Macaca fascicularis: one gene and its partners. The protein of the gene in region 3 interacts with the protein of the main gene of each other region in a pairwise test. Links are inferred from orthologs where the notes say so. Each region holds a gene or a part of one and is shown on either strand. Other genes may lie near its edges. The genes, in order: RTN3, CSNK1G2 and CERT1.

Region 1 (3,647 bases), on a different chromosome or scaffold from region 3:
GCAACTGGATCTTACAGTTGGGGACTTCCAAACTGGGAAAATCGAAATACTTCTACTTAAACTCTTTTCCTGACATAATTATTAATAGTGCCCCACTCACTTTTGAAAGAGTCTCATTCTGTCACCCAGGCTGGAGTGCAGTGGCACGATGTTGGCTTACTGCAGCCTCCACCTCCCAGGTTCAAGTGATTTCTCGTGCCTCAGCTTCCCAAGTAGCTGAGATTACAAGCGTGCACCACCACGCCCAGGTATTTTTTTGTATTTTCAGTAGAGACAGGGGTCTCACCATGTTGGCCAGTCTGGTCTTGAACTCCTGGCCTCAAGTGATCTGCTTGCCTCGGCCTCCCAAAGTGCTGGGATCACAGGTGTGAACCACTGCACCCTGCCAGCCCCACTCACTTTTTTTCTTTTTTTTTTTTTTGAGACAAAGTTTTATTCTGTCACCTAGGCTGGAATGTAATGGCGCGATCTCGGCTGACTACAGCCTCCGCTTCCCAGGTTCAAGCGATTCTCCCACTTCAGCCTCCCGAGTAGCTGGGAGTACAGGCACATACCACCATGCTCAGCTAGTTTTTGTATTTTTAGTAGAGACTGGCTTTTCGCCATGTTGGCCAGGTTGGTCTTGAACTCCTGACCTCAGGTGATCTGCCCGCCTTGGCCTCCCAAAGTGCAAGAATTACAGGCATGAGCCACCATGCCCGGCCCCCACTCACTTTTTTTAAAAGTACTGCAGCTTGGCCAGGCATGGTGGCTCATGCCTATAATCACAGCACTGTGGGAGGCCACAGCAGGAGGATTGCTTGAAGCCAGGAGTTTGAGACTAGCCTGGGCAACATATTGAGACCCTGTCTCTACAAAAAAGATAAAATGTACCTGGACATGGTGGCACATACCTGTAGTCCTAGCTGCTCGGAGGCTGAGGTAGGAGGTTTGCTTGAACCCAAGAGTTAAAGGCTGCACTGAGAAATGATAGTTCCACTGCTCTCCAGCCTGGGTGACAGAGTGAGACGCTGTCTCAAAAAAGGGAGGAGGGGGTATTGTGGCTTAGATAATTATATGGTCCCCTATACATAATCCTTCCTGAATTCTTTTCAGATTAACATCGAGATTGGTGTTTCTTTGTAACTAGCACTAATAGTGCTTGGTCTATTTTTATTTACCACTTTCTTTGCCCCGCCCCAATTTATACACTGGGGCAAAATTAGCTTTGGTTTTATAGTCTGTTCACCCAACTAATTTATAGGTCTGGTTTGCATAATTTAGTTAACAGCAAGATTTTGCCACACCTGCTTTATCATCCTTTCTGCCAAAATATTTAAGGTAAATGGCACTTTACCCCAGTGTATTTCCATAGCTGAAATAAGCTCTTAAATTTTTATAATCCTATCCTGAAACCTAATCAGTGTAGCAGAAGAACCTTTTGCCTTGTGAGTTATCACCCCTGACATAATTTGATTTTCATTTATAAGATTCTCTTAGAACCAAGTACAGTAGCACACACCTGTAGTTCCAGCTACTCAGGAAGTGAAGGCAGGAGGATCACTTGAGCCCAGAGTTCCAGGCCAGCCTGGGCGACATAGTGAGACCACCATCTCTTTAAAAAAACAAAGCCAGATTATCTTAAAGTGGGGCATACCTGTATTTGTGTGCTAATGTGAGGCTCCACAGGTATGCAAGATATAGTAGCTGTGGGCATTTCCTCTAATTTATATTCCCTTTTCTTTTGTCAGTGCACGATCTGATTTTCTGGAGAGATGTGAAGAAGACTGGGTTTGTCTTTGGCACCACGCTGATCATGCTGCTTTCCCTGGCAGCTTTCAGTGTCATCAGTGTGGTTTCTTACCTCATCCTGGCTCTTCTCTCTGTCACCATCAGCTTCAGGATCTACAAGTCCGTCATCCAAGCTGTACAGAAGTCAGAAGAAGGCCATCCATTCAAGTGAGTTGAAGTCTTAAAAGTGACATTCTGCATTTTAGTGGAAGGGTTCACTGAAGCTGATAGGTCTAAAACTCAGACCTGACTAAAAAGCAAGAATTATGGGGCCTGATGCAGCTGGTGGGTGGCATGAAGCATCCCCTAGAGACCTTGAAATCACCTTAAGAAGTGGCCAAGGTAGGAGCCAAGAATTTTTTGACAAATTAGAGGCTCTACTTGAAGTTCAAAGAGGGAGTCCCCGAAGGGAGTCCTTCAAAGAAGACCCTAAATTCTTTTTTTTGAGACGGATATTGCTTTTGTTACCCAGGCTGGAGTACAATGGTGCGATATCAGCTTACTGCAACCTCTGCCTCCCAGGTTCAAGCAATTCTCCTGCCTCAGCCTCCTGAGTAGCTGGGATTACAGGCGTGCGCCACTACGCCCAGCTAATTTTGTATTTTTAGTAGAGATGGGGTTTCTCCATGTTGGTCAGGCTGGTCTTGAACTTCTGACCTCGAACTTCCGCCTGCCTCGGCCTCGCAAAGTGCTGTTTTTTTGTGTGTTTTTGTTTTGTTTTGTTTTGTTTTTGAGACAGTCTCTCAAAAACAGGCTGGATCACGGCAACCTCCGCCGTCCTGGTTCAAGCAATTCTGCCTCGGCCTCCTGAGCTGGGATTACAGGCACACGTCACCAAGCCTGGCTAATTTTTGTAGTTTTAGTAGAGACAGGGTTTCACCATGTTGGTCAGGCTGGTCTTGAACTCCTGACCTCGTGATCCGCCCGCCTCGGCCTCCCAAAGTGCGGGGATTACAGGCGTGAGCCACTGCGCCTGGCGACTCTAAATTCTTGAGCAGGGCAGGGAAAGCAGAGCACCTAGAGCAGCACTCAGTTAGATGGGGTTCTGAGTGCATGTTTAAACCCCCACATGGGTAAGACTTGAAATGACTTTCAAATCTTATTGAGTGTGTGCTGTTGGTAATATCAGAACTCAGTGTTTTTATTATTGGTTTATTACTGATTTCCTCCTTATCTCTTACTAGTTTTCTTAACACTGGAATCTTAATGAAGTCAGTAGATCTTCTGACTACATTTCTAGTATACAATTTCTAGCTTTTCTGATTGTGCTGTAACTTTAACAAATGTTTTCTTCACACTTTCCTCTTGAAAATCTTACCCCATAAACAATGTTGACTTTAACATGAGCAAATGACAGTTTTTTGAAAGCTCTTTTTTCATAGAGAAGGAGACCCTGCTGTGACCTCTCAGGACTACAACAGAATAGGTTTCTGGTCGCACCTATGCTCATTGTATTTTCTCTTGGTGAAAATAGAAGGAATAGCTTACAACTATATGTGGCATTAAAACATTTATTGCAGTTCAGCCGCGGTGACTTACGCCTGTAATCCCAGCACTTTGGGAGGCTGAGGCAGGCAGATTACTTGAGGTCAGAAGTTCAAGACCAGCCTGGCCAACATGGTGAAACCTCGTCTCTACTGAAACTACAAAAATGAGCCAGACACGGTTGCAGGCGCTTGTAATCCCATCTACTCGGGAGGCTGAGACAGGAGAATTGCTTGAACCCAGAGGCAGAGGTTGCAGTGAACGGAGATCCCACCACTGCACTCTAGCCTAGGTGACAGAGTGAGACTCTGTCTCAAAGTATAATAATAATTGCAAATTATGTTTTTTGTTTTTTTCTTTTTATTTTACTTTATTTTATTGTGTTTTATTTA
Region 2 (3,647 bases), on a different chromosome or scaffold from region 3:
TCGAGAGGACCGACTGCAGTTTTGAAAGACGTTCTGCTGTGGGTGATAAATGCTATCAGACGGCATCACGCCCCACAAAGAAATCTTTGATGAAAGGAAGAGTCAGTTGCTGCGGCCGACTTTTTTGTGGTCATAGTTTAAGAAGTTGCCCTCGCCTCCGGCAGCCGCTGCCCCGATGAGTCAGCCGGCGTCCACGTCGAGGCAAGACCCTCCTCCAGGGAGATTAGGGCGCACTCACAGTCCGACGATCGTTAGCGTTGTTTAGCGGTAAAGTATTTTTATTTCTCTATTATTTAGTTAAGATGGGGTCTCGCTGTATCACCCGGGCTGGAGTGCAGTGGTACGATCATGGCTCCCTACAGCCTCCGCCTCCTGGGCTCAAGCGATCCTGCCGCCTCAGTCTCCCGACTAGCTGGCACCACAGGCTTGCGGCACCATGCCCCACTTAATTAAAGTGTGTCCGCATACCGTGGTACACTGTGAACGTAACTTTTGTGCGCACCAGGAAACGAAAACATCTGAGTGGCTATTGCCGTGTGGAACCCCAAGGCACGCTTGCGATCACCTCAGGGTGTTTCTCGTACCAGAACACGGTTGCCACGTGCAGTGGGGCAGTGCTTGTGACGCTGGTGCCTTTGTTTCTGTTGTGGCTTATTCAGCTGGGAGTTCCTGTCCTAACATTTTCGGCGATGGCTGTGCACCCGTGGCCCCTCCTCACCTGCCTCCCTCAGGCCCCGCCATACCCTTCTCAGCTCCGCTCTGCACTGAAGGGGCTGGGTGGGACCCACCCTGGCATTGTCACAGCCCCGAGTGGTGTCCAGCCTGCCCCGCTCCACCAGTGGCTACTGGAGAACGACCCGAGCCTGGGTCAGGCCGTGGGGATTCCTGCAGCAGCTTACGGCTCGCTGGGGCCTCCTGCTCTCCGGTCCACTCTCCCCACTTTCAGTGTCCCCTGGCCGCCATGGGCAGGGGCAGCTCTGTGGCTTCCGTGTCCCTGCCTCAGGTCTGCCTGCTGTCGTCTGCCTCCCTCCCTCTTTCTCAGAGCAGCCCTGGGCCTGGAGATGGGGACTGTTGTGTGGCCCTTCTGTGTCTGGGGGTGGGACTGACCCCTGGCTTCAGGATCCTCAGGGCCTCTCCCCGGGATGGGCAGTCATGCCCTCCCAGCAGTACGTTCTCCCACCTGTGCCACCCACCCACCCATCTCGCTTCACAGAAAGGCCCCTGAGCCCTACCCTGTTAGTCTCTAGGCAGCCACGCCGAGACCTCTGGCCTCTAATGTCATGTGGCACGTGCTTCCCAGCCGCGTTCTGGGCACGGACAGTGCTTGTCGTGTCCCGGCCTTCAGAGCTCCTTCCAGCCCGGCAGCCCCCTGGCTGCGTCCTCTGTGGCCTCCGCCCCGTGTCCTCGCCGGCGCTCACCTGTGCCTCTGTTTCTCCACAGCTGTGAGCCGTGAGCTTTGAGGCGGTGGGACCTGTCAACAGAATGTCTCCTGCCCCCGAGAGCCACCCCAAGGCCACTGAGATGAGCACCGCGGCCTGGCCGGCCCCAGTGCCTGCGTCTCAGTAGCCGGGAGCCGCGGGCCCACGCCCGCCCGCCAGCCGCGGTGATGTTCTAGCCACAGAGGAGCCAAGACCTCAGGTTTCCAGAGACTTGGGATTTGCACGGCAGCAGAGCCACCGTGGAGAGGCCAGGGTATCACAAACTTATGGATTTTGACAAGAAAGGAGGGAAAGGGGAGACAGAGGAGGGCCGGAGAATGTCCAAGGCCGGCGGGGGCCGGAGCAGCCACGGCATCCGGAGCTCGGGGACCAGCTCGGGGGTCCTGATGGTGGGCCCCAACTTCCGCGTCGGCAAGAAGATCGGCTGCGGCAACTTCGGGGAGCTCCGCCTAGGTGAGGCCCTGCTCGTGGCTGATGGGGTGGGAGGCTGCTGGCAGGGCCGCACGGGGTCACCGGAGCCTCCAGTGGGGCCGCACGGGGTCACCGGAGCCTCCAGTGGGGCCGCACGGGGTCACCAGAGCCTCCAGTGGGGCCACCCCGGGTCACGGGATCCTCCGGCGGGGCCACACGGGGTCACCGGAGCCTCCGGCGAGGCCACCCCGGGTCACTGGCATGTGTTGAATCATCGGTCCATCGTGGTATGAGTGTCACTTCCCTTCGAGGAAGCCCCATGGGGACAGTGGGTTTCTGGCCCTGTCTCCTTTTCGGGAAACAATTCAGTTGGGAGGCAGGTGGCCCAGAGCAGGCCAGGCCATGCCGCAAGGAGTCCGAGTATTAAGTCATGAATGACTTCCACAGCCCATGTCCGTGCTGGGCAAAGCCCTGGCCTTAACCGCAGGCGCCAGCACGGAGCCAGCGTCGGGTGACTGGAGTGACTGTTCTGTGGTGATGACGCTGCTGTGTGCCACTCCCAGCTTCACCGTGTAAAACGCCGCACCAGGCCCACCTGGCTCCATGCCTTCTGCTCACACTGACCTCTCCCGGGTTGCGATCTGATTGCCCGGGCAGGCGTGAGGAGCAGGGCTGAGGACTGAGCCTGTTACTGGCCAGGGGCGCCTTCCCTTGGGTGGGGGTGCCTGAAGATGACCACCAGGCCTGGGGGAGCTCTGAGCACGTTTGGGGCCAGTCGCAGTTCGTGATTAGCTGTGCCAGGCAGCCGGGTCATCCCCAGAAATATTAAATTCATTCCTGGTGCTGCTGGCTGTACGGCCAACGCCTGAGCTCCTGCGGGAGGGCATTTGGCGTCTGTTTCTGGGGTTGTCCGGAAGACCCAAGTGCACCCCCGGTCAATGTCTGTCGTGGTGGGAGTCGGGGTCTCTGGGAAAGGGCGCAGGATGGGCAGGTCTGGGAGGCCACGGCAGTGGATCAGCCTCACGTGGGCACCCACGGCAGGCAGTACTGGAATCCGGCCCCTCGGCCCAATGAGGTTGTCAGATGAGGGAAACTGAGGCCCAGGCAGTGGGTATGTTGTGGTTGCACCTTCAAGAGTGGCCGCCCAGGGGTGCAGGAGCATGGGCAGTAGCCACCTGGACCCCAGGCATGTTTTGTGACCCCGCTTCCCACCTCCTGCCTCAGTTTACCCACCTGTTAAATAGGGATGAATGGTAGTTGCCACTGTTCAGAAGTGGGTTCAGCAGGCAGTTACGTGGCAGAAGTGTGTGTCCTGAGTCAAGCAGCTTCTCCCAGGCGAGCGCAGCTGTCGGGGTCACTGTTGGCTGCCTCAGTGTTCCCATTGGCTGCACCCGGGGCCCCAGGAGGCCCGTTTGAGACCCCATCCCGAACCAGATTCCACCCCAGCCCTTGGGGAGGCTGCTGGGATTCCACTCTTTTGCGCAGAGGCTGGGCTTGGGCCTCACTGCCTGTCTGATGGCCTGTGGCTCGGGAGGCCCCGGGCTCCGTTTCTCAGCCAAGAGAGTGAGCTTTTCCCGACGGTAGCTGTGGCCTCCCAACCCTGTGTGTGTGCGCACATACTCAGACACACGTGCAGACACATACAGATGTGTACACACATGCCCACACACGTACATGTGCACACTAAAGCACATGCACACAGGCACGCACAGCCACAACCATGTGCACACAGGCACATCTGCACACACACACCTGGCACAGCCCTGTGACCTGCAGCCTGCGGGATATGGCTTTTGG
Region 3 (3,747 bases):
CAAACATTTAGAATCGTAATTAATCCCCCATTGAGGAAGTAAAAAATAGGAGACTGGGATATGGGAAAAGGTCATCAAGCCTAGATTTGAAACCAGGATATAAAGAGCTGGAATTACAGGCACCCGCCACCCTGCTCGGCTAATCTTTGTATTTTTAGTAGAGACGGGGTGGTCTCAAACTCCCGGCCTCAGGTGATCCACCCAACTCGGCCTCCCAAAGTGCTGGGATTACAGGCGTGAGCCACGGCACTCGGCTAGCGTTTTCCCTTAGACTCGAAATTTCGCTCCTATTGTCCCATCCTTGTAGTAAAAAAGGTATTCTTTCTAAGGCTTAATAACAAATTTTACTCTTGGCAATTATCAGGAACTCGACTATATTAAAATAGCTAACGAGAGGAAATTACTGAAGCTACAAAGTCAAAGGTCTCACCATCAAAGTTATCCTTGACAACTGACAAGAGCTGTTAGATCTTCTTTTGGTCTTTCTGCTAATTCAACCCTAGTCTTAAAAATAGCCACCTATTGCCTAATCCCCTAATCTCGTATTTCTAATACGAGAAAGTTTCTATATATCCAAACTTTCCTATCTTTGAGGGGCAGGCATGGTTAACGTGGTTCTCAGTAAGATATTCATTTACAACTAAGAGAAAATCCCAGGCTATCATCTGACATTCTTGTTTTACTTTAAAAACCTTTCTAACGTTATTTATTCTCTGACAACCTCAAAATTACTTTCCACAAAGAAAATTCTAGAAATCTAAAAATGCGAAGTGCGTGCTTGTCAGAAGGTACTAAGGAAATTCTTCCTTTAAACGTCAAATGTGAATTCTAACTTCTAATGGGTAAGACCCTCGAGATTTACAGCGGTGGTCTGGTGGAAAGAAAACCCCCTTGGCACTAGGAGCTCACAAAACCCCATCCCGTGGTTGAGGCGGAAGCGGCTACGCGCTCCCGGGCTTTCGACAAGCAGCCCTGCAACGCAGGCCCGTCATCTTCAGCAGAAAGCTCTCTCACGTCCTGGCCCGCAAGCCCGGAGGGTTCGTCATAAACACACAAGGCAAGGATAGAAGCGAGGCCAAGAGGCAGGTCACGCAACTGTCAAACGAAGCCCACCCACCGACTGACAAGTCCCCAAGGCGACAAGCGATCCCCGCGCGGGATACTCACCCGTTACCTCAGGATCGCGACTACAACTCCCAGGAGGCTGGGCGAGCGACGAACCAACGCCCTTCCCAGAATGCAGCACAGCGGCATCCCTATCCCGCCCTCTCCTTACTGCGCTCCTCCTACTTTTCTACCCCTCGTCATCCGGGAGAGCCGGAGGTAGGGTGCGGGAGGAGGATCCCGCACGCTTGGCGTGTCGCGTCAGACGCCGGGAGGGGGACGGGGCGGGGAGGAGGAGGGGAGAATGGGAGGACGAAGGGGAGGGGAAAGGACAGGGGAGGGGAGGGTAAATAGTGGGCCAGGCAGCAAGATGGCGGCGGTAGCGGAGGTGTGAGTGTACTCGGGTCTCAGCGGCCGGATTTTCTCTTCCCTTCTTCTCCCTTTTCCTTCGCTATTTGAAATTGGCATCGAGGGGTCTAAGTTCGGGTGGCAGCACCGGGCGCAACGCAGGGGTCCCGGCGACGGCGGCGGCGGCTGACGGCTGGAAGGGTAGGCTTCCTTCACCGCTCGTCCTCCTTCCCCGCTCCGCTCGGTGTCAGGCGCGGCGGCGGCGCGGCGAGCGGACTTCGTCCCTCCTCCTGCTCCCCCCCACAGCGGAGCTGGCACTCTTCGCTTCGCCATCCCCCGACCCTTCACCCCGAGGACTGGGCGCCTCCTCCGGCGCAGTTGAGGGAGCGGGGGCCGGTCTCCTGCTCGGCTGTCGCGCCTCCATGTCGGATAATCAGAGCTGGAACTCGTCGGGCTCGGAGGAGGATCCAGAGACGGAATCTGGGCCGCCTGTGGAGCGCTGCGGGGTCCTCAGTAAGGTGAGCAACCGGTGGTGCCAGGGGACCCCTGGCCAGACTCACCTGCCGCGAGGCAATCCGCTGAGGCGGTGGGGTGGGGCTGGCGGGAGGCGCGGAACGTGCCGGGGTGCGAGGCTGAGTACTGCTGCGGCGACTAGGGATGAGGCGGGGATATAGGGGGCCTGTCCTTGCTGCCCGAGGGCTCGTCGGGGGCAGCCGAGGACCAGGGAAAGGGTGTATCAACCGGGGATCCAGTTTGGGAGACCAGATGCGTGCCGTGCCTTGGGACCTAGGGCGGCAGCTGTCCCGGGTGTAAGGAATCCGGGTTGGGCTTCAGCGGTGTCCGAACGACTGGGCACGGGAGCGGTTCAAGTCGGACCTCTTAAAAGAGGTTGGTCTGTCTGAGGATGCCAAGCCGAGTAGGTTGGGGGGCACTGCGGACGCAGCTGTTTCGACAGAAGCCGGAGCGACTCAGCTTGGTGTTGAAATTTGAGGTGTTGAACTCGCCAGGTTAGATGTAGTGAGACAGATTAATGTGGAGGACTTTCTCCCTCACCCTGTACCTTAGTTCAGAATAGAGATATTGAATCGGCACGTGATGGGTACAGGAAATATTCATAGTAACTTGAAACATGTGAGAAAGGAGACTGATCTTTAGTCCAGGAAGAAGAGCATTATTTAATAATAAACTCTTTTTGCGGTAAGGGGTCCAGGGTAGGGAAAAGATGTTTTACCTTTTATGTATTTTTTAAAATCCGTGTATCAAAATTTTAGGAAAGCAGCCATTATAGAACTGCGGATGGGTGATCTCTTGATATTACATGGTTGGGATTTTTTTTTTTTTTAAGTTTTTGCTATAAGAAGATTCACATAGCCTTTTGGACTTCTCTCCCCCTTCCTGTTAAACTTTTTTAGAAATGGCTGGAGCTAGCAGTTAACTTGGAGAGGGGGAGCTGGGCCAGTCCCTCAACAAGCTGGTCATAAGATACTATGTCATGTGCAGCTACTGGCTATTAAGAAATCACCCTGTTTCCAGTATTCATACTTTGGCACATCACTTGGACATTATTTGTGGAATTGTTTAATATAATGCTTTTATAATGTCTGTAGAAAGCTAATGAGAAGGGAACTAGAAAAGGCATGAGTAGTCAGAACTAAGGATTGCAAGTGTTGACTTTTATTTGTATAGCCGAAAAATTAGTTGTATATTGATGCTGTGATCATTCTTGAAATTTCAATGCAAGGTTTTCAGTAACGAGAAGCTCCTCAGGATTTCTTTACATTAAATGTATCCTGTAATTTAGGAATCTCTATTGAACACATTGTGTAGTAGGTACACATTTTCAGTTGATAATAGGAAGTGGGTTACTTGCTTCTCAGTGATTTTGATAGTTTCATCACTGCTCATAAGATGGGAAGCTGACTGCCATATTAGTATTGTGATGTGTTGAGTATTTTACAAAACAAATTGTAATTTTGACCTACTGATAATTACTTTTTTGGGGGTTGGGGGAATGGAGTGACTGGGGGAAAAAGTCACCAGTGCTCTGAGTTTTACTTTATGTGGAGTAGGTATACTATAGATCAAAAAATGGAAGACCAATCTCGATATTTAAATGCATACAAATGCATTTGATCACCTCTGTGGAAGGTGAATAACTTAAATTTTGACTGTTGCTTCTTATGTAGAATGAATAGGAATACAGCTTTTGGTATTCTTGCTAATAGCTATGAAGGAAATTTTCCTGAGATTTACCAATTTATGGTTATATACAGTGTTTTCTGGAAACTTTTTAAT

The links.
Region 1: the proteins of CERT1 (region 3) and RTN3 interact in binary tests that used the Homo sapiens proteins (3 or more experiments, as listed by UniProt). The link is inferred for Macaca fascicularis from reciprocal best matches to the Homo sapiens genes CERT1 and RTN3.
Region 2: the proteins of CERT1 (region 3) and CSNK1G2 interact in binary tests that used the Homo sapiens proteins (3 or more experiments, as listed by UniProt). The two-hybrid records come from large-scale screens. The link is inferred for Macaca fascicularis from reciprocal best matches to the Homo sapiens genes CERT1 and CSNK1G2.

Annotation. Positions count from the first base shown.
Region 1 is NC_088388.1:10,667,706-10,671,352, reverse strand, and holds part of RTN3 (reticulon-3), read left to right. Parts: intron 1-1,730; coding exon 1,731-1,938; intron 1,939-3,647. UniProt on the Homo sapiens protein: May be involved in membrane trafficking in the early secretory pathway. Inhibits BACE1 activity and amyloid precursor protein processing. May induce caspase-8 cascade and apoptosis.
Region 2 is NC_088393.1:2,596,903-2,600,549, forward strand, and holds part of CSNK1G2 (casein kinase I), read left to right. Parts: intron 1-1,440; 5' UTR 1,441-1,705; coding exon 1,706-1,892; intron 1,893-3,647. UniProt on the Homo sapiens protein: Serine/threonine-protein kinase. Casein kinases are operationally defined by their preferential utilization of acidic proteins such as caseins as substrates. It can phosphorylate a large number of proteins. Participates in Wnt signaling.
Region 3 is NC_088380.1:79,526,233-79,529,979, reverse strand, and holds the start of CERT1 (ceramide transfer protein), read left to right. Parts: upstream 1-1,235; 5' UTR 1,236-1,237; coding exon 1,238-1,323; intron 1,324-1,464; exon of another isoform or gene 1,465-1,576; coding exon 1,577-1,970; intron 1,971-3,747. UniProt on the Homo sapiens protein: Shelters ceramides and diacylglycerol lipids inside its START domain and mediates the intracellular trafficking of ceramides and diacylglycerol lipids in a non-vesicular manner.